2 linked regions of the Macaca fascicularis genome follow. The protein of the gene in region 1 binds, or shares a complex with, the protein of each later gene. Links are inferred from orthologs where the notes say so. Each region holds a gene or a part of one and is shown on either strand. Other genes may lie near its edges.

Evidence for each region.
Region 2: ZBP1 (region 1) and AIM2 share a complex: the UniProt entries of both Homo sapiens proteins name them as parts of the AIM2 PANoptosome complex. The link is inferred for Macaca fascicularis from reciprocal best matches to the Homo sapiens genes ZBP1 and AIM2.

Annotation. Positions count from the first base shown.
Region 1 is NC_088384.1:113,674,566-113,685,646, reverse strand, and holds part of ZBP1 (Z-DNA-binding protein 1), read left to right. Parts: intron 1-1,296; exon of another isoform or gene 1,297-1,447; intron 1,448-1,616; exon of another isoform or gene 1,617-1,785; intron 1,786-2,128; exon of another isoform or gene 2,129-2,264; intron 2,265-2,590; exon of another isoform or gene 2,591-3,478; coding exon 3,479-3,703; intron 3,704-4,363; coding exon 4,364-4,432; intron 4,433-4,886; coding exon 4,887-5,060; intron 5,061-6,598; coding exon 6,599-6,766; intron 6,767-7,207; coding exon of another isoform or gene 7,208-7,257; exon of another isoform or gene 7,258-7,369; intron 7,370-8,000; coding exon 8,001-8,204; intron 8,205-9,543; coding exon 9,544-9,762; intron 9,763-11,081.
Region 2 is NC_088375.1:102,014,583-102,025,663, forward strand, and holds the end of AIM2 (interferon-inducible protein AIM2), read left to right. Parts: exon of another isoform or gene 1-3,649; intron 3,650-4,232; coding exon 4,233-4,366; intron 4,367-5,208; coding exon of another isoform or gene 5,209-5,403; exon of another isoform or gene 5,404-5,714; intron 5,715-6,614; coding exon 6,615-7,034; intron 7,035-7,473; exon of another isoform or gene 7,474-7,783; intron 7,784-8,225; exon of another isoform or gene 8,226-8,382; intron 8,383-9,082; exon of another isoform or gene 9,083-9,353; intron 9,354-9,362; coding exon 9,363-9,551; intron 9,552-10,320; coding exon 10,321-10,347; 3' UTR 10,348-10,555; downstream 10,556-11,081. UniProt on the Homo sapiens protein: Sensor component of the AIM2 inflammasome, which mediates inflammasome activation in response to the presence of double-stranded DNA (dsDNA) in the cytosol, leading to subsequent pyroptosis.

The sequences.
Region 1 (11,081 bases):
AAGGCTGAGACTGGAGAATCGCTTGAACCCGGGAGGTGGAGGTTGTAGTGAGCTGAGATGGCGCCATTGCACTCCAGCCTGGGTGATAAGAGTAAGACTTCGTCTCAAGAAAAAAAAAAAGAAAAGTAGAAAGCTGTCGTTCGACAGCTGACTATGCCCTGGGCACCTCAAAACAAGCTTCGCAAGCATTTCTCAATGGCCTGCAGGGACAAGTGCCATGTCATTCCCATTTTATAGATAACTGAGGCCCTGAGAGGTGAAATGACACTCTCGGGGTAGCACAGCTGGTGAGCACTGGTGCTAGCGTTTGAACACCCATGTCACAGTCATATCGAGAACAAAGCAGTTTGCTTTGATGAGGTACATGTATGCCCTTGTTCCTTGTTGTTGCATTCTTTCCTCAACTAACATTTCATTCATTTTATTCCTGGAAGAGCTGCAATGAAAGCCAATAGTGTATCAAGCAATTGCTGTTCTCTAGGGTCTCCACGAAGCGCTGTGGACTGTAGGTGAAGTGTGGTTTTGCAGTTTGGGGGATGGGTTTGTTTTGTTTTTAATCCTCACCGCAATCTTTGAAGTAGTTATTATTGTCTCCATTTCACAGAAGGGGAACCTGAAGCCGGGGGGAGGTCACATAGCTAGTAGTTGTCAGGGCTAGGAGCTCAAACCCAGGAAATCAGCCATCAAAATTTTAAAAAACCAACCCAGACTGTGCCCCTGGTGGGCTAATGTCAGGGTGTGGCCAGGAGCCGCGCTGGCCACCGAGTTCCTGTGGTGCTTCCTCTTCGGGGACTCACAGGTGCTGACAGAGGTTCCGGACTCAGCCCTCGCTGGCTTTCCTTGTCTTCCTCCCCAGTTGATTTTCCTTTTGTGACCAAATTGCTGCCTACACCTGCTCCATTTTACAATTTTCCATTTTCAGACATAGGAGCCTGGGACTTAGCGGTCGAGTCTAGCCCAGCACCCGGGCTTGTCCTGCATCCACACCTCTGACCCCCATCTCCTCTTGGATCTGTGGAGCAGAGGTGGTGGCTCCCTAGGGTCAGCCTTCCAGAATCAAAACTCTGCAGCCGGGCACAGTGGCTCACGCCTGTAATCCCAGCATTTTGGGGGGCCAAGTTGGGGGGATCACCTAAGGTCAGGAGTTCGACACCAGCCTGGCCAACAAAGGGAAACCCTGTCTCTACTAAAAATACAAAAATTAGCCGGGTGTAGTGGTGCGTGCCTGTCATCCCAGCTACTTGAGAGGCTGAGGCAGGAGAATTGCTTGAACCCGGTGCGTGTCTGTAATCCCAGCTACTTAAGAGGCTGAGGCAGGAGAACTGCTTGAACCCAGGAGGTGGAGGTTGTGGTGAGCCGAGATCGCGCCACTGCAGCTGCAGACTGGGCAACAAGAGTGAATCTCTGTCTCAACAACAAAAAACTCCGAGAGACAAGGCGAAGCCAGGTGTGAAGTCAGGTGCACGGGGATGCTGCTGGCTGCCGGTGGGGGAGTTTGGTAGGCGCAGGAGTGGGAATTCCCAGGTCTTCTCATTTCTCTTCACCTGCACACGGTAGCCTGTCAGCATTGTAGCCATCAGGGCGAGGCACAAACTGATTTTTCCCTCCCCTACAAGTGCTGCGACCGAAGATCCCTGGGCAACCCTAGAGAATCCTCTGAACAGGAAGAAAGCCCAGATGACAAGGACTGAGTCACTGTCCTGGAAGGGGAACTCGGGTCTTTCCCAGAAGAGCTCTCCCACGCACTGCCCTCGGGTTCCTTGAAGCAGAACCTTCTGGTGACAGGTGGGCCCCCCCCCCACCGTGGCTCTCCCAGGCTGCTGGCTGCAGGTGCTGCCTGTACCCTGTGTCTGCCCCAGCCTCATCTCTGGGCAGTGGCTGGCTTTGATTTTTTAATCATTGTTTGAGCTAATGGTTTTGATTTTTAAGAGCTGCCTCAGGAGGAGCAGGGGCCATTTGGAGAATTCCTCCTTGAATCTCTTGGGGTCCTGCTTAGGGCTCATTAAACTCAGGCCAGGAAACAGCAGCACCTGCCAACTGGCCAAGGAGGAGCTGCCTGGGTCTACTGAGTAAATGTCTGTCCCTAGAGACAGACACTCACTTACTCAGTCCTTTTTTTTTTTTCCAGAGATGGGGTCTTGCTCTGTTGCCCAGGCTGGAGTACAGCGGTGCATTCATAGCTCACTGCAGCTGCAACCTCCTAGACTCAAGCGATCCTCCCATTTCAGCCTCTTGAGCATCTGGAACTACAGGCACGTGCCATCATACCTACCTGATTTTTTTTCTGTTTTTGTAGAGATGGGGGTCTCACTATGTTGCCCAGGCTGGTCTAGAACTCTTGGCCTCTAGGGGTCCTCCAATCTCAGCCTCCTGACATGCTAGGATTACAAGTGTGAGCCACCACTCCTGGTCCCATTCATTCATTCATTCATTCACTCAGTCACTCATACATTCAACTGCCATTTCCTGAGCACGTCCTGTGTGCCCAGCACTGTGCTACATGCTGACGGTACAACAGTGAGCCACGCAAGTACAGCAGGGGACACGAGGGGACCCACACACAAGCAGATCCCAGCCACTCTGGAACACAGGGACAGGCTTCCCCAAGGAAGTGGCATGTGAGGAGGCTGGAGGTTGAGTAGACATCATACAGGTTGGGATGTGGGGGAAGGGTGTTCCTGGCAGCCGGAACAGTGTGTGCAAAGGGGCTGGGGTGAGTGGGGCTAAAGGGAGCACAAACAGGCCAGCACTTGGAGGGAAGTTGGGAGCAGGTGCAGGTCAAGCTGGGTGGTCGGCAGAGCCAGATCTGGAGGGTACCCGACTGGAGCTGGTGGGCCAACCGGGAGCCTATTGCTGCACCCAGGAGATGGTGGTGAGGAAGCGGGTGGTGCCGGCAGAAGAGAGGAGTGGGGCAATTCCAGAAAATCCAAGAATGGCATTTCCAGGGCTCCACGACTGGGCACTGGGGGAAAGGTCTGTTTCTGATGTCTGGTCGGTTTCTGGCTTCGATGGATAGTGGCACCATGGAAGGATGGTGAGCTGAGAAGAGGCGATTGATTCCCAGGGAGGATGGCAATGGGCATCAGGTACACCCAGGCAGGACTTGCCTTTGTGCTCCCAGGTCCCCCTGCCTCCCTCTGGCTCCGTCCTTCTGCCCTCTACTCCTCTCTGCCCTGAGGACACCTGAGAGCTGAGGAACCCCACTGCCCCCTGGCACCCACACCCGGGGAGGGCACAGGCGAGGCGGCACCTCCTCTGGCTGCCAGGCCATTTCTGATCAGCCTGCATGCCTCTCTCTGGGCAGGGGCAGCTGCTCTGCTGCTCTTAGGGGGTATCTGCTGGGGTCTTTGCCCTCTCCTCTGCCCTGGACACCTCTCAAAAAGGGGCCTCACGTGCCTCTTGGAGCCTCCAGCCTGGGCTCATCTGTGGGGACCCGGGAGACTCAGTCCCTATCTCTGTCCCCCGCTCACTCCCCCAGGCCACCTTGAACAGAGGATCCTGCAGGTGCTGACAGAGGCTGGCTCCCCAGTGAAGCTTGCCCAGCTGGTGAAGGAATGCCAAGCACCCAAGAGGGAGCTCAACCAAGTCCTCTACCGAATGCTAAAGGAGCTGAAAGTCTCCCTCACAGCCCCCGCCACCTGGCGCTTGGGCGGGACTGGTCCTGGAGGCGAGGGTCCTGCAGAGCTGGCCCTGTCCAGCCCTGGTAACTGCCACCCTGGGGAGGTGGGTCTGACCAGGCAGGGACCATCCTGGCAATGGACAAGCATAGATTTGAGCCTGGGTTCGAATCTGAGTTCTGCCACTTGGGAGCTCACGGGTTTCATCTCTGTGCCTTGGTTTCTTTTTCTGGTTGATGGAGCTGACAGCAGGGCTGCTTGGTAGGGGTTGCTGAGAGAAGGCCTTGCATCAGGCTCAGCCCAGCCCTGCACACAGAAAGTACTCAGCGGAACACTAACAATTATAACAGAAAATCATCATGATGGAAACAGCAATGACATGATGGTCCTAATCACAGAACACACTCAGTCCCACCAGCCCCCCTTTTCTAGCTTTACAGCCCACAGCCAGAAAGAGCTGCCATTTGTCATGCACTTAAGATTAGCTGGGCACTGTTTCAGGGTTCACCCAGCCCTCACACAACCCCAGGAGGCAAAGGAGGTTGAGCCCCGGAGAAGTAAACCAGCAGGAAGCCGCAGCTGCCAGGGCACAGGCAGGACTTGATGTCAAGTGTGTTTAACTCTGGAGTCTGAGTTTGCAACTACCGGCGTTGCAGCTCACCCTAGGGTGCTGCCCACCTTTGTGGGGTGGAGCCCTGGTGCTGTTTTCTGTCCCCCACCCCTCTGACCCGTCTTTCTTTCTCCAGCCGAGAGGCCCCAGCAATGTGTAGCTACAGTTCCAGAGACCCCTAGCCCTCAGTTCAGCCAACAGCGGGGTAAGTCATTGCATGCCCCTTCAGCTCCCGGGACACAGGATCCCACTCCTCAGGAACCCCAGGCCCTCCTTGAGGGTACGAGATCTCACCAGTGTTCAGGGGCCCTGTCCCACCCACCAGGTGGCTCCCAAACAGTGTTCAGAGCCAAGACCCAGCCCTGACAGCGGGAGAATCTGAATGTCGAGCAGTGATTTCTCCAGTCAGACAATAGCTGACCCTCACCATGCACCCACCATGTGCCAGGCCCAGGGCAGAGCACTGCGTGCACATCCCCCATCCTCAGGGCACCTCTGCGGTGCGTCATCATGACCCCGTTATCGTGGTGCCCATTTTACAGATGAGGAAACCAGGCCTCGAGGGGCTGGGTCCAGGGCCACACAGCTAGAAAGCGGTGGGTGAGGCAGATGCAAATTCTAGGACTCCTCTCTAACCACGTGGCCGTCCTGCCTCCCAGAGGAAGACATCTACAGGTTTCTCAAAGACAATGGTCCCCAGAGGGCCCTGGTCATCGCCCAGGCACTGGGAATGAGGACAGCAAAAGATGTGAACCCAGACTTGTACAGGATGAAGAGCAGGCACCTTCTGGACGTGGATGAGCAGTCCAAAGTGTGGACGATTTACCGCCCAGGTAGGCCCCCAGCTGCCTGCACCTGGGCTGCAGAGGGAAACCATGACACTAGCGCTTGGTCTTTGCTGGGTGCTCTGCTGAGAAGCTCACCAGAAACTGCCAGAAGCTTCTGGAGGTCCCACTGACAGTTCACTGCAAGGGCTTCCAGGAGGAAGGGGTGTGCTGGCAGGATTAACCAGGAACAGCTTCCTGGAGTCGTGGCCCAAGGGCTGCAGTTGCAGAAGGCCAGCGAATGGGATGGAGGTGGCCCATTCCCAATGTTCTCAGCTCTGAGGTGCAGGTATCAGTCTGGGTTTGGGAATAGTTTTCTTTGAGCACTTTGCCCAAGTTGGGGTTTTAAAGTTGGCAGAAGAGAAGGCAAGACTAGGCTCAGACCCCTACTGGGTGGAGCCCCAGGGTCGTCTTCCCTGTGAGATCTAATAGGCGCAGGGCCAAGATCCAACAGGCCCATGGCACTCTTAGGGGTCCTTGAAAATGTTTTAATTTTAATTTCATTTAAAATCAGAAGAAATGAATACTATAATAATAATGAATATCTAAAAATGGACCAGGCGTGGTCGCTCATGCCGGTAATCCTAGCACTTTGGGAGGCTGAGGCAGGCGGATCACCTGAGGTCAGCCTGGCCAACATGGCAACCCCCTGTCTCTACTAAAAATACAAAAATTAGCCAGGCCTGGTGGCCGGCGCCTGTAATCCCAGCTACTCGGGAGGCTGAGGTAGGAGAATAGCTTGAACCTGGGAGGCAGAGGTTGCAGTGAGCTGAGATCACACCACTGCACTCCAGCCTGGGCAACAAAAGTGAAACTCTGTCTCAAAAGAAAATTAAATTAAATTAAATTTAATTTAAAAATCCGGCCTGGGTTATCCTTGACATACAATGTAATTTAAATATTTGTGTATGGGGGAAGGGCCCACAAAGGCACAGGAGCCGAGACCCCAGAGGGTGGTGATGGGCCCCACACAGTCTGGGCAGGTGCCTGCCTCGACCGCCATAGGGCGACTCTGCTACTCACGATGGGTGTCCGAGGGGGTCTCAGCATCCTAGGGCTGCTATAAGGAAGGAATAATGCATGACAGTCACCAGATTTTAAACACGAGTGACAAATTCAAATATCTAAAATGTCATGGGTGCGAAGCACAACTGATCTGTCCAATGGGCTGCTGTCTCTCGGCCACTACTCAAGGGAGAAGGGCAATGGTGCAGGTGCTCGGGGGTCCGGGCTGTGGCTGCCCCCCAGGGAGAGCAGTGTGGGGCCCCTGCAGTCCTCCCAGCCAGCAATCATGGCGGCCCAGCCATGGGGGCAGCAAAGGACACAGGTAGGGTGACTCACAGGGCTATTTTCAAGCGAGGCTCCCTCTGAGGTACCTGGGGTGTCTGTTAAACACTCAGCTCTGGCCTCCCACTTGGCCCTACTGACTCGGAACGCCCAGGGTATTTTAACAAGCTCCCCAGGAGAATTTGGTGCTGCCCACTGGTATTGGGAACCCCTGACCCATAGAGAGGGGCGAAGGGATAGAGTTGAATATTATTTTGCAGAAGGTTCTGGAAGAAGAGCAGAGTCGGCCTCAATTATTTACCAGCACAATCCAATCAACATGATCTGCCAGAATGGACCGAATGGCCGGATTTCCATTGCAAACTCCGAAGCCATCCAGATTGGACACGGGAACATCATTACAAGACACACAGCCTCCAGGGAGGATGGTGAGTTACCCGAGAGAGCCCGGGGAGGGGACCTCGGTGGGAGGCCACCTGATCCACTGGGTGGGGGCAAAGGGTAGGGATGGGGAATGGGGGAATTCAGCCCTCCAAGGGGAAAGGGTTGCTTCCAGATCCCCACAGTCCACCTTTGTGGCCGTCCTGAGAATGAGGACGCCCGGATCAAAGCTCTCCTGATTTCCCTGTATTCTGATACCTTCTACGTCATTTTAAAATTTAATTTTATTTTTATTTTTTAATAAAATTTTAAAATTAAGATGGGGTAGCTCTGTGTTGCACCTGACCTTGTGCCTCATTTTCAATGGGGTCCGGTGTTTTTCATGAGAAACGACTCAATTTCCTCTCCCTCCGGGGAATGCCACAGGGGAGGTGATCATAGCACAGTATTTGTTCTGAGACACGCAACTTTCCCCCACATTTTAACAGGCTGGAAACTGGGGTGCATCTCACCACCTGTGCCATCCTGGTTTGGATGAAATGCGGTGTTGCACTTTGAGCCCTTACCCTGTGCTGGGCACTGTGGCAAGAGGGAACAGAGCCACCTGTCAGCCCAGCCTTGTCACCTGTGAGTGACAGCTTCAGCCCCAAAGTCGGGACACTCCCTGTAACCTTGGGAGAACCTTTCCCCTCTGTCAGCCTCAGTTTCCCCAATTGTGAAACTAGGAACTTTGTTCTAGAATCTAGATCATAGTTTCCCCAGCTTTAATCCTCTGAGCCCCACATTCCCGATTCTGGCCATACTCATGTCTGATTATTTAATTAATGTTGAGTAGTGCACATTTTTAAAATTTTATTTTAAAACAATTTTATAGTATTATTTTAAATGAAAACCATTAAAATCACCATAAAAATAAATTGTCCCTGGCAGTTAAAACACTGCAGGAGGCTCTGAGCCTTTGGTGTTAGCACCAAAGGAGACTTTGTCTCTATGAGATCAGAAGGCTCGGGAATGACAGAATCAGAACGAGGAGCTCATTGTTTGGGTTTGTGAGTGTCCCTGCAACATCCAGGCACCAGCCCCAGTCCTGAGAACCCAGGGAGCCCCAAAATGAGCTATTCTGCCAGGTACTCTTGCTGTCTAAGCCAGAGCCTGAAGTCTTTGGCCCCCAGTTTGATGGTGTCTAGGAAGAATTCAGAGGACAGGACTGTGGGTGGTGGTGAGGAGGGGGAAGAAGCCTGCAGTAATCTCTGGTGAGGCTGTGCCACTGTCCCCTGCCAGGTTCTACTGGTCCCCGCCACCTCCCTTCAATGGCACCAGGTCATTCCTCAACTCAGGGGACCCTGAATGATCCCTGGGGGCCCCAGGACATCCACATGGAGCGGTCCATGCTCAGACGGGTGCAGCTGGGACACAGCAATGAGATGAGGCTTCACGGCGTGCTGTCCGAGGGCCCTGCCCACAGCCCCCCTGGCAGCCCTCCAGGTAACTGGGGATCTAGAGGCCAGACCCACCCCTGTCACCCCGTGGGTCCTCACTGGAAGGAACTGGAGCCAGAATCTTTGTGGGCAGAGAAGCATGATGGGAAATTCCTTTCCTTCCACCAGGCAGCTGAACCAGAGCAGAGCAGGTGGGGTTTTTAAAGCTAGCACTCTAGGCTGGACACAGTGGCTCCCACCTGTAATCTTAGCACTTTGGGAAGCCAAAGTGGGTGGATCACCTGAGGTGAGGAGTTCGAGACCAACCTGACCAATATGGTGAAACCATGTCTCTACCAAAAATACCAAAAAAAAAAAAAAAAAAAAAAAGTACTGGGCATGGTGACATGTGCCTGCAATCCCAGCCACTCAGAAGGCTGAGGTAGGAGTATTGCTTCAACCTGGGAGGCAGAGGTTGCAGTGAACGGAGATCGCACCACTGCACTCCAGTCTGAGTGACAGAGTGAGACTCCATCTCAATAAATAAATAAATAAAATAAAGCTAGCCCTCTGGATCCCCATCCCCTACAACCCACTGCAGGAAACCTCAGTTTCCCCATTTGTAAAATGGGCAGAGAAGCAGAGGCTGGGCCAGCTGGAGTAGGGTGATGGTTTGATACTGGAATGGTGTTTAGGGAGGTTGGAAGACAGGTGCCCTACTAGGTGCTGTGGCTGCAGTGACCAGAGGGCCCCGGGCAAAGGCCTCCCCCGCAGTGGGAATGCAGAGATGGGCTGGGGGAGAAGAACCAGCAGGGAAGCCAGAGAGGGAGGAGGAAAGCAGAGGCCCCGGGAAAGGAGTCACCAGAGAGCGGCCAGGCTGGCGAGCCCAGGGAAGCATCTGTGGGGTTCAGCGAGAGGGGTCGTGGTGACCTTGCGGGGGTGGTTTCTGGGAACCAGGGAGCAGAAGGGGTCTGGGGAGTGGAGGAGGTGAGACTCAGTGTGGATGGTTCTTCAGAAGTTTGGGTGGGAAAGGGCAGAGCCAGATGACAGGGGCTGGGGCCAGGCTGGGAGCCCCCATAAGATTTCAACCAAAAGTGGGGGCCAGTGTTCCAGTGCAGTGGGAAGCAGGCAGCAGAGGAGAGAGGAGCTGAATCCCAGAAGACACTGGCGTCCAGATCAGCTGGGCAGGATCAGTGGGGCAGACCCACCAGCTGGTGGAAAGACGCTTCCCAGGCAGCCCAACAGCACGTGTGGAGGTGTGGTGGGCAGGCACAGGCTGTGCGCCTGGGATGGTGTGGGCCGCTGGTGGGAGGTCTGGGGAGGAGGGTGAGTCAGTCTGGGGGTCAGGGCTCCGGGCCACTATCCAGCTGCTCCTGGCTCCAGGCCTGTCTCCCTTTGACCCACAGTCTCTGCCACTGCTGCCGGCCCAGAAGCTTTGTTTGAAGCAAGAATGCCCAGTCCAAGAACTCACCCCAAGGGGGATGCCGCCCAGAGAATCTACATGAAATCATGCTTTCTCGAGGATGCCACCATCGGCAACAGCAACAAAATGTCTATCAGCCCAGGGGTGGCTGGCCCAGGAGGAGTCGCAGGGTCTGGAGACAGGCAGCCAAGGGAGGACGCAGGTGAGCTGGGGTACCGAGTGGACCCCTGTGTGTTCTCTTTCTCTCCCCACCTTCCACTCATTCATTCATTCATTCTCATCAATCATTTGCTAATCTCTGGTTTCCCAGAGTCTGGAGGCAATGCTCACCCATAGCGAGGAGCAGCAGCTCTACAGTCAGAGCTCGAGGCTCCGTCCGCCTAGTGGAGGGGCCCACCCAAGTCACTTCACCCGGGAGCCTCTGTCTCCTTAGCTGGAAAGTGGGATGGTAAGAATAGCCTGAAGCAACCCCTACAGTGGTTGCAAGGCTGAGATAAAATCTGAAGGCAGAGCTCAGCCCTGCACCAGCCCTGCCAGCATTCAGGAGATAGGAGTGTTATTGCTGTCATGATTGTTTTGGGCCCAGAAAGGTGCTGGGTTGCCATGCAAATAAGGTTCTGCATCAGGGCACAGGCTGACTTGCCGCAGCGGAGACGCCACACATGGTGGCCCCGCCTGCTCGAAGCCCAGGTCTCATGTCTGGGTGAGGGTAGCAGACCAGGGATTCTTTTCCCTCAGGGATGAGTTGTCCCTGGGGCTCTATCCTCATCTGTGGGGTTGAACTTGGCACCAGCAAGCAGAGGGGCAAGACAGGTACAGAGAGCCGCTGTTGTCTTTGACCAAGCCCACCCACCGCATCTGCGCTGTTCCGAGGGCCAGCACTTAGCCACGGGGGATCTGGGAAGTGCCGCCTGTGTCGAGGCAGCCTAAGCTCAGCAGAGACTGAGGGGAGGGGCTCCACTGCCAACAGGAAGAGGGGAGAGGGGACACCAGCGCGGTTCACCTTCCCAGCCACAGTTCTGCCCCTGGAAGCTGCACAGGCTGGTTGCAGAGCCCGAGGATCCCAACTCTGCAGAAGGGAGCTCGGGGCCTGGGGTAGGGGCAGCTGGAGAGTAGGGCAGGTCCATACAAGGTGGATCCATACAGGGCAGGTGTACCTGGTGGGTGGAACAGTGTGGACAATGGCCTGGAGGTGAGGACACGACAGTACAGGAACCCACAGGGGTCTGAGGGTGACCTGAGTGTGGAGAGCAGAGCCAGGGTCTAGCTCCAGGCGGCAGTTGATGCTAAGGCAACTGGGAGCCATGGGGGCCTTAAGCAGGAGAGGGGCAGGATGAGATTTATGCCTCCCATATGAAGAAAGAATTAGGAGGATTTGCACTCCTACCCTTTTGGGATCTGGAATAAGGGGTCACACCCAATCCCACCAGTGGGTAGAAAACGTGGATTCACAGAATCTGGAGGATTGGCCAGCATCCACCTTCCAGTGCCTGAAGGCCCAGGGGACGCATGTCCTGGAAG
Region 2 (11,081 bases), on another chromosome or scaffold:
GAATATGGATGTAGAATTTCAAAGTTAACTTTTCCCAACTCCATTTCCACAGTATGTAATGCTCTCACATTCTACTGAAGTCTCAAAAATATAAATTATTGCATTGGAAAATTGTAAACCAGGATATTGAGCACCTTTTTTTCCTTCACACAGTCTGTTTATTTCTCTCCATGTCCCTATCTTTCTATGGTCCCAGACTATGCTGCTTTCTTTAGGGAATGATCTCCTCCTTCTTCAGGGAGGGAGAATCCTCCTTCAGGGATTCTCTCTCCTCTCTATCTCCAGTGACAGTATAAATTACCCACAGCAAAAAGACTTTTTTAACATCATTCAATAAATCACTCATCATCTCCATCTGAATTATATACATTTAGTTTAAATTCCTGATTTTGTTTACTAAGAACAATTGATACGTCCCGGCTTTATGTCTGAAGAACAAAAAAGAGCTAACAAAGGAGCATATCACTCCAGGACTGTCCCAAATGAGAGTCTCCAAATGCAACAGTTTTAGGATTCAAAGTAAAACCGTAACAGCAAAGATTACAACAGCTTTTAATAGCATTTGTGGGTGTACAACACGGTGACATGGCTTCTCACACATGGTTTATAAGAAGGTTAAATGAAGCCACATAAGTGATACTATGTAGGTCCATAATTCTATACAGATGTAAACTGTGAGGTAGTTTCTAAGGCACTAATGAGAAAGGAGTGGTTGTTTTCCCAGGCTTTAAGTTAGAAGGTGTAGTTCTTTAAGATGGCCCTTAGATGGCAGTAACTACCCATGTTACTTCCATGTAACCAGCTGCCCTGTGTTTCTTATCTGGGATGAGACAGGAATCTATTGGCAAACATAGGCTGAGATATTTAGAAATATCTTCTATTTTGGCAATAAATCAAGAATTAATTCTTCTCTTTGACCAGGATAGCACAAAATTTCCCCTTCTACAATCTTCTCCCCATTTTGCTGTTCTAATGATTCTGGGATTTTGTTATTCTACTTAGCTAAAAAAGATCCAGTTTGGGACTAACTTGGAGACTCAGGAGTAGATCATCCAGAGGCTGTCCCAAATGAGAGTCTCCAAATGTAACAGTTGTAGAATTCAAAGTATGCTTTTGGGCCAGGTGCAGTGGCTCACACCTTTAATCCCAGCACTTTGGGAGGCCAAGGCAGGTGGATCACTTGAGGTCAAGAGTTCGAGATCCGCCTGGTCAACATGGTGAAACTTTGTCTCTACTACAAATACAAAAATTAGCCAGGCATGGTGGCAGGCGTCTGTAATGCCAGCTACTCAGGAGGCTGAGGCACGAGAATCAACTTGAACCCGGGAGGCAGAGGTTGCAGTAAGCTGAGATCATGCCTCTGCACCCCTGCCTGGGCAACAATAGTGAGACCCTGTCTCAAACAACAACAACAACAACAACAACAACAACAACAAAACACAAAGTATGCTTCCTGCATGCTCTACAAGAAGGCAACTGAGTTCCTTCATCGCTCTCAAATTCCATCCGTGGACATACTTAGGCCTCTTTTGAATGTAGGAAATTTTTGTGTGTCCATGCTATTTCTATTATTGTATGAAAAGCTTTTGTTTCATTTTTTTTGAACAGTTACTATCATTCTTGTTTAAGTGATCCTTCTCTGTTGCCATGGCATGTCTGCATGTAGAGTGCTATATGCTCTTCTACTCACAACCTCACCCCATGGAAGGTAGAAGATACCTGGAGAATCTTTAATGAAGACAGAGGCAATAATTAGTAGAGAGGAGAAGCTTTTGTATGAAGCAAGATGAGAAAATACAAGGACTCATAAGCATAGAAAAAGGAAGCGAAGAGAAAATGTGATCACAGTCTACAGAAGTCCTGCAAGATTAAAATAAAATGCTGAAAATGATAAATGAGATAATCAGTAACAATGTCCACCTGATTATTAAGGCAAATGAGAGATTTATAGTGGGCAGACAAGCTTGTCCACAAATATTGGTACCACGGTGTGTGAGATGAAGTATGGCTGATGTGATGTGGTAGAACGGTAGGTTGATTCCCTTGGCCTCCTTGATGCTGTTTTCTCGCCGATGCTGTGAACATAGAAGAGACTTTATCTGCATACCTTTCTGAAACCAGTTGCATGGAACTAACTTATCATTAGAAGGTTAGTGTAACTTCTTTCTAGAGCAGAGATCCTGCTACAATATCCCTGTCAGACAGTCAACCACTTTCTGATCTTTGAAAGGTAATGACAGAGTACCTACTGCCTCATAAAACAGTATCGTTTCTGTTTTTAGTAAAATCAAAGTGATTGCCTTGCTATTTCAGCCCAGAGTTGTTCAAATTCTATCAGAAATGACATCTAATAATTTCTCAGGCCCTCTTCTGCCTGAGAGTGCCTTAAGTCATTAAACACGACCATCTTGTTACATGGTCTTTTTAAAAATCAGGACTAGGAGTTGGCTTTTCACAATAACATATAACCTGACCATAGATGTGGAGGAGCCCAGCCAAAGTATACAACTGCATTTTGTAGGCATTAGTGAGGAGCCAACATGCCACCCATCCATCCATTTCTTCATCCATTCAGTAAATATCTATTGAATTGCTAATAGGTACAAGGAAAGCTTTTAGGTTCTTATGATAAAACAAGGTGTTAAAAACAAATCCAAATTTTATACAGCTTCTATTCTAAAGGGAAAGTAGATATTTTTCTTACAGGAAAATTTATGAATGTAATTAATTGAGACAAATGCTCTAATGGAAAGGAAGATGGTTCTTCAGCAGCATGTGTCAAAGGAGCATTAACATAAGCCACGAATTAGAGTTGGTGTTGGTCAAAGTGGGTTCCATAGGGAAGTGACCCTTGCACTAAGCTCTGAAAAATGCATAGGAGTTAAAGGTACCTTCAGTCAGAGGGAACACTGTGAAAATCCCTATGACAGCAGGTGTTGACCTGCTTGAGGACTGAAAGAAGGCCAGTGTAGCTGGAGTACAGAGAGTCTTCAGAGGGCAGGATGGGGTCCCCTCGATAGAAGGACAAGGCAAGGCCTTGTAGAACATAATTAGAAATCTGTGGCCAGGTGCGGTGGCTCATGCCTGTAATCCCAGCACTTTGGGAGGCTGAGGTAGGCGGATCACAAGGTGAGGAGTTTAAGACCAGCCTGACCCACATGGTGAAACCCCGTCTTTACTAAAAAAATACAAAAATTAGTCAGGCATGGTGGCATGAACCTGTAATCCCAGCTACTCAGGAGGCTGAGGCAGGAGAATCACTTGAACCTGGGAGGTGGAGGTTGCAGTGAGACGAGATTGGGCCACTGCACTCCAGCTTGGGTGACGGAGTGAGACTCTGCCTCAAAAAAAAAAAAAAGAAAAGAAAAGAAATCAGCCCTTGTTTCATAGCAGTAGTTTATTCATTTTCACTACTACATAAGATTCCATTTAATTGATAATTACATACACATATAAACTCATATACATATACATATATAGAGAGAGAATTGGTCTATTTTTTATTGTTATTTTAGTCATTTGAGGCCATTGTGAAAAATGCTGCTATGAATATTTATTATAAGCCTTATGTACTTATCTTTGTATGTTTGTATTTGTATGTGTGTTTCTCTTGACTGTACACCTGTGAATGGAATTACTGGATGTTAAGGTAAGTAGATATTGAATTTCAATAAATAGAGTCCCAAACCATTTTCCAAAGTGTTATACCGATTTAAGACTAAGACTTCATAGTTTCTTTTGTTTTTTGTCTTTTGTTTTTGTTTTTTGTTTTTTTTTTTTTTGAGACAGACAAGGTCTCACTGTGTCATCCAAGCTGGAGTGCAGTGGTGTGATCACGACTCACTGCAGCTTTGAACTCCTGGGCTTAAGTTATCCTCCTGCCTCACCCTCCCAAGTAGCTGAGACTGAAAACATGTGACATTGCACCTGGCTAATTTTGAAAATATTTTTTATAAAGATAGGGTCTCCCTATGTTGACTAAGCTGGTCTCAAACTCCTGGCCTCGGGTTGATCCTCCAGCCTTGGCCTCCCAAAGTGCTGGGATTACAGGTGTCTGTGCCAGGTCCAGTTTCTTTCATTTTAAAACAAGATTTTTTTTTTTTTTTAGAAAAATTAACTGCTCTTGAAGATATCTTAATATGGTTTTAGTATTTATTTCTGGTGACATTTGAAAATGTGCACTGCTCATATGTTTATATGCTTATTGGCCATGTCTTCCATTTTTTAATCAGTTGATAAGGAATACAAATCGGTAACAAAACCAAAGCCACTAAGTCAACCTGAAATGAGTCCTGCTGCATCTGCAGCCGTCAGAAATGATGTCACAAAGCAACGTGCTGCACCAAAAGTCTCTCCTCATGTTAAGGTAGGATGAGGAGAGTGGAGTGGTCTTTGTCCTTGTAAGAGCATCACTGTCACTGTCATTTCCCACATTGTTCTCTGTTCTTTATCTCAGAGCATGCAAATAAGGGAATTAAGGCCACAGTGTGAAAAGCACTCTGAGTCACAAAAACAGGAACTACCTCTGATTAATCAGATTAAACACCTGTTGAGCTTCTAATCTCTGTCAGGGCCTGGACACATTAACACTCTGTTATGGTTTGGATTCTATAAGACGAAAACTCTGAGATAGACAGTTGTTTACAGGAAGTCTATTTTAGAGCACTTTCAGAATTAGTATCTGTGAGGAAGTGAAAGGAGTAGAAGAGGAAGAATGTCAAGTCCAATATAGTTGCAATAGAGGCCTTGGCCTACCCCACAGGGAGCTCGGGAGCTGAGAATGCCCTTCAGGGCTCCCAAGACTGGTGGGGGAGTCTGTGGTTTGCACAGACCCAGGCTCTGGGTCACATCAGAGATCTATTGCAGAGACTCTTACACTCGGCCTGGCATGCCTCTGTTTGTTTTCCCCTGTATTTTCCCTTAGTTCTTGACAGCAAATTGCTTTTTAAAAGTAATGTAAAAAAGCCCTTTATACACCTGCATGGACAAGGTGAGGTGGCCCTGTTTAGCTGAGAGAGTAGTGCCTGAAGAGTCTCATTGATGAGAATGATTACTTTAGTCCTGAGGGAGCGGCAGGCAATATCGGAAAGGCCCAACACAGAATCCACCACACATGCAATTTCATTTCCTGTGAAGCAGGTGTTACACCATTTTATAGCTGTGTGAGCTCTAGAAACTGATTACACATACTTCATTCTCTTTGTCTAGAGGAGCCATTTCCTCTGGGTTTGGCCCAGAAACTTCTGGATTTTTCAGAAAACAAGGTTCAAGTATACATGGTGTGATTCCATCACCAGTAATGAAAATGTGCATCATTCAGTCTGGAAGACTCAACTAAAGATACATGGACCAAAGAGGACTTTTGTAGTGGAACTCAGTGGAACTGACCTTTACCTGCATTGATCCAAATGCAGTCAGTTATACTGCCCGTCAGGGCCCCTTACTGGCCCCAGCTCCACTGGCCCAAGCTTCAGGTCACATCGGAGACAGCCTTCGAGACTCCTACACTTGACTTTTTATGCCTCTGTTTGTTTTTCCCTGTATTTCCATTTGGTTCTAGATGGCAAGTTGCTTTTAAAAAGTAGTATTTTCTCCCAAAACAAACCAAAAAAGGTATCTTATCTCTGTTAATTCAGAAAAATAAAAAACACAGAGAAGCGAATAAAATTACCTATAATTGTATCATCTAGGAAAAAAATATTGATGTTGGTAAATATCTCTGTAGTGTGTTTGTGTATGTGCTTTAACTGCTTATTTATCCAAAAAGAAAGAGATTTTTTATCTGTTTAGGACCTTTCCCTTTATTGAGTCAGTTATAACAGTTTATCACATTATTTCTCTAAAGCATTTTTAATATTTGTATAGTAATCTATTTGTGACTATACCATATTTTGTTTAACCAAATTCTATTTTTTATGTATTTAAATTATTTCTTTTTTTATAATTTCAAATAATAAGATATATTTTTAAAATGTAAACCTTAGTGCATAATTCATTATTTAAGGGTAAATCCACAAATGTAGTATCAATTCTCCTTTTAAATTTCTCCTTTAACTCACTTGTAAGATCTCTGACCTAGGTCTCCCCCTTAACTCACATTAAACATAGTCTACATTTTGTTACGTACAATACCTCCCTAGGAATTTGGGGAACCCTGTGCAGGTCACTGAGCTCTCTCACTTTTATACCAGAGTAAAATGAATGTTTAGGACAGTGTTGGATAGAGAAACAAGGATATATTATGCCCGAATGGAATCCACAGAAGATGGAATCAGATTTATCAGATTTACCCCGAGGCTTAGCAATATTTCAGAAATCTGATGAAGTCTTTTTATACAGCACATGGCAAAGCAAGGATTTGGTTTTAGGGATCCTTCCTCCAAAACATGTTACACCGTCTTATCTGAATACAGGAGTTGAAATCTTCCTTCTGCACTCTCTGTTCCATCTAGATCATTCTAGGCCTCAAGTCTCTTCTTATCCCCTCTGTGTCTCTTCCCTTGATTCCACCTGTCTTCTGTGGTTTCCTGAGGCTTAGCACTGTGGGTGAAGGAAGGTCCTCTCAATAGTACCTTTTTGACTCACAGCTGATATCTTTCTTCTCTTGTCTTCAGCCTGAGCAGAAACAGAGGGTGGCCCAGCAGGAATCTATCAGAGAAGAGTTTCGGAAAGACTGTTTGCCAGTTATGGTACTGAAAGCAACAAAGCCCTTCACGTTTGAGACCCAAGAAGGCAAGCAAGAGATGTTTCATGCTACGGTGGCTACAGAGAAGGAATTCTTCTTTGTAAAAGTTTTTAATACACTGCTGAAAGATAAATTCATTCCAAAGAGAATGATTATAATATCAAGATATTATCAGCACAGTGGTTTCTTAGAGGTAAATAGCGCCTCATGTGTGTTAGATGCTAAATCTGACCAAAAGGTTGATGTCCCGCTGAACATTATCAGAAAAGCTGGTGAAACCCCAAAGATCAACACGCTTCAAACTCAGCCCCTTGGAACAATTGTGAATGGGTTGTTTGTAGTCCAGAAGGTAAGTTTTCATAGCTAATTTCATATTGATTAGTAAGAATAACGTATTTTCCATCTGATCTTAAAGAGACTTTAGAAAAGGTGTTAATGTCTATACAGACAAAATAAAAAAATACAAAGTTCTAAAGAGCTGCAGAGTTAACATGCCAAAATTCATACGAAAACTCAAAAATTGTTTTTATTGTCAAAAATGTCACAATCCTGTTTCAACTTATTCTTATCCCAGTAGCCTCTGAAAAAGGAATTAGTTCGTTCACATAGTTTTTATTTCTGCGTTATTTTTGTACTTTGTCCATATTATCTTTATTTTAAGTGACTATTGTTGTGATTGCAAAATAAGTGTAGTTGAGTAATCAACCAAATTAATTGACCTGAAAAACCAATATGCAAGTCAGGATTAAAGAACTGTGATTAAATGAAGAAAACAGAAGAAAGAGTTAGCTTGAGGAGACTTATTTATTTCTTTCTTTTTAATTAAAAGTAAACTTTAATGTCGAAAATGCAAACTTGGGGAAGACAGAAAAGATCACATACAAGGCTATCACTTCACACTTGGAAGGTTGCACAGCGGCTGGCGCTCCTCTCTTTCCAGACGGTGGGGCGGCCGGGCAGAGGCCCTCCTCACTTCCCAGACGGTGGGGCGGCCGGGCAGAGGCCCTCCTCACTTCCCAGACGGTGGGGCGGCCGGGCAGAGGCCCTCTTCACTTCTCAGACGGTGGGGTGGCCGGGCAGAGGCACTCCTCGAGGAGACTTATTAGAAGTGAGAAATAATAAAGTATTATGACTCTGAGCTTCAGGGAACTAGCCTTGTGGAATGACTTTTTCTGGTCTAGGGCAGGACCTGAAGAACCGTAGAGAGGGAACCTGCTGCCCCTGCATTCAGAGCCTCAGAATAACCTCTGCTGCCTTGGGTTAGTTTTAGAAGGAATTGATAGGAAGACTCTCCAGTCCTCTTGGAAAACTCAAGTGTAAAATGACCTTGGATAGGAAGGTCATGTTCTTTGTCCCAGTTTTCAGCTTTTAATCTGGCCACTAACATATATTGATTTAGTCCACAAAATTAAAGCTAAAATACAATCAATCTCCGAAATAACTGACCAACCTCCTATTTCCTTTTGATCTAGACTTGATTGTGCATTATTTCTTGTCTTTGATTACTTACTAGACTCTCAGCTGGATCTTGCATCATTACCTCATGTCTCTCCTGGACTTGTTGTTTTAAATAGCTGTCTTCAGGCTGGGCACGGCAGCTCATGCCTATAATCCTAGCACTTTGGGAAGCCAAGGCAGGTGGATCGCCAGAGTTGAGGAGTTCCAGATCATCCTGGCCAATGTGGCAAAACCTGTCTCTAGTAAAAATACAAAAATTAGCCGGGTGTATTGGTAGGGACCTATATATAATCCCAGCTACTCTGGAGGCTGAGGCAGGAGAATGGCTTGAACCCAGTGAGGTGGAGGTTGCAGTGAGCCAAGATTGCACCATCGCACTCCAGCCTGGGTGAAGGAGCGAAACTCTGTTTCAAAAAAAAAAAAAAAAAAAATAGCTCTCTTCCAACCCCAGGGTCTTCTTTTTTCCCCTGACTAATCTGGCTACTGGCCCTGGAGAAGCTCCATCCTCTCTATCCAGCAGTTGTTGCTTCTATGGGCCACCCTGGCCTCCTCCTAAAGGAAGGGAGTTTGGGACTGGAAAGATGGGCATAGGAGACAGCATATTCTAAGTAAGACATGTCTGCCTCCTCTGTGTGAATTTGCTAACATCTATTAGATATATACCTGCTAGTTTCAAAGCAGAAACTTTTTCTTCAAGTTGACTCTTGAACAATGTAGGGATTAGGGCTGCTGACCCCGAGCAGTCGAAAATCTGCATATAATTTTTGATTCCCCCAAAACTTAACTACTTAATAGCCTACTCTTGACCAGAAGCCTTACAGACAATATAAACAGTCACTTAACACATTTTTGTGTTATACATGTTATATACTATATTCTTAAAAAGTGAGGTAGAGAAAAATGTTATTAAGAAAATCGCAAAAAAGAAAATATACTGACTATTCATTAAGTGGCAGTAGATCATCAAAGTTCTTCATCACTGTCTTCACGTTAAGTAGACTGAGGAGGAAGGAGGAAGAGGAGGGTTGCTCTTGCCGTCTTGGGGTGGCAGAGACAGAGGAAAATTCCCATGTAAATGGACCTGCACAGGTAAAATCTGTGTTGTTCAAGAATTAACTGTATTTCTTTTTAGAGCCTTCTTCTGGCATGTCTGATGTGTGACTGATGCGGCATTCCTTAATCAGATTATCAGAGGCTGGATGTTGATTTTCTTTTACAGGTAACAGAAAAGAAGAAAAATGTATTATTTGACCTAAGTGACAAGACTGGGGAAATGGAAGTATTGGCGGTTAGAAACGAGGACACCATGCAATGTAAGGAAGGAGATAAGGTTCGACTTACATTCTTCACACTGTCAAAAAATGGAGAAAAACCACAGCTGACATCTGGAGTTCATAGCACCATAAAGGTGGGAACTGCATGGAGCAAAGTCAACTCTCCAAGGGGGTGATATGTTTTGCTTTCTGTCAGGAAGCTGGACTGGAGCCATTGAACAGGATATGGAATGGAAGACATTGATATTTAATACACGTCCATCTCCCAGAACTGAGAAACCTCCCTCTTAGGAAACACGTATTCTAGATACACAGTTAAGAGAACATGGGCTTTCCAAGGCAGAGGCGCATACTGTTATGCACACAGAGCCCAAGAAAGAGCTCCTCAGTAACACTACAAGTCTAAAGCAGAAAGCTTGCCCAGAGTTGGAAAAGTCATTCTGAGTAATGTCTTTGAAAGTAGACACACAATAGATACTTTGAGGACACATTTCCCTAGCCAGTCCCACCACGCCTGCACCTACCATAGTCCAGGGCACTTGAGTCCATGTAAACCCCTACTCTTGACCTTCCACCACACCCTCCTACCCATCTCCTGCCACTAGTTGGTGCTCTTCCCCAAGTCTCAGTGTCGGTTGTACTACCTGCTGTCTCTGTAGGAGTGGAGGCCAAGACTTGAGAAATATGCATATATGACCTTGCTAAGTTGGAGTGTATTTCTCAGGTCAGATATTCACTTTGGGAGTATGATCCAAGACAAACCAATGTATTAGAAGGGTGGGAACAAAATAATTTTATCAGAAGGTGATATACACTTTAGAAGGCCATAGTGACTGCAAACAGAGGAGGGGCCACTTATTGACCGCATCTCAGACTGCATGTTTTTTTTTTTTCTCCATCCAGGTTATTAAGGCCAGTAAAAAAACATAGAGAAATAAAAAGGACCAATTCAAGCCAACTGGTCTAAGCAGCATTTAATTGAAGAATACGTGATACATCTTCTTCAATCAGATTGTAAGTTACCTGAGAGCAGCAGTTCACAGGCTCCTCTCTCCACCAAATTAGGATAGGATAATTGCTGGATAAACAAATTCAGAATATCAACAGATGATCACAATAAACATCTGTTTCTCATTCATTACAGTATCTCATTTAGTTTGTCAATCCCTTGTCTCAAGCAAAAATACTTTATCAATGTATTATATGTTTATACAAATGTAAAAGTAAACTACATGACAACAATTGCACAAAATACAAGAGGGAAGAATTAGGAGTATACTGTTAGAAGATCCTGTACAACATGTGAAGCAGTGCAGTATTATTTGAAAGTAGATACTGCATAATTAAAAATGTATATTTTGTCCCATAGGGCAATGATTTAGAAATATTTTAAAAGGTATATAAATAATAAGACAATTTGTGTTATTGGAGAAAGAATAAGCATAAAGCCTAACGGAAAACTAGAGAGCCAAAACTAGGCTTGTAAATTTACAGTCTATTGATTTTCTACAAAAGTACAAACACAGTTCAATGGAGAAAAGACTAAAATAAAGTACAAGAACAATTAGATACCTGTACTTAAAAAAACAAATCTGAGCCATTCCTCACTCTTTATACAAAAATAAAGTCCAAATGGATCATTGGCTTTTCATAAACATCCAAAA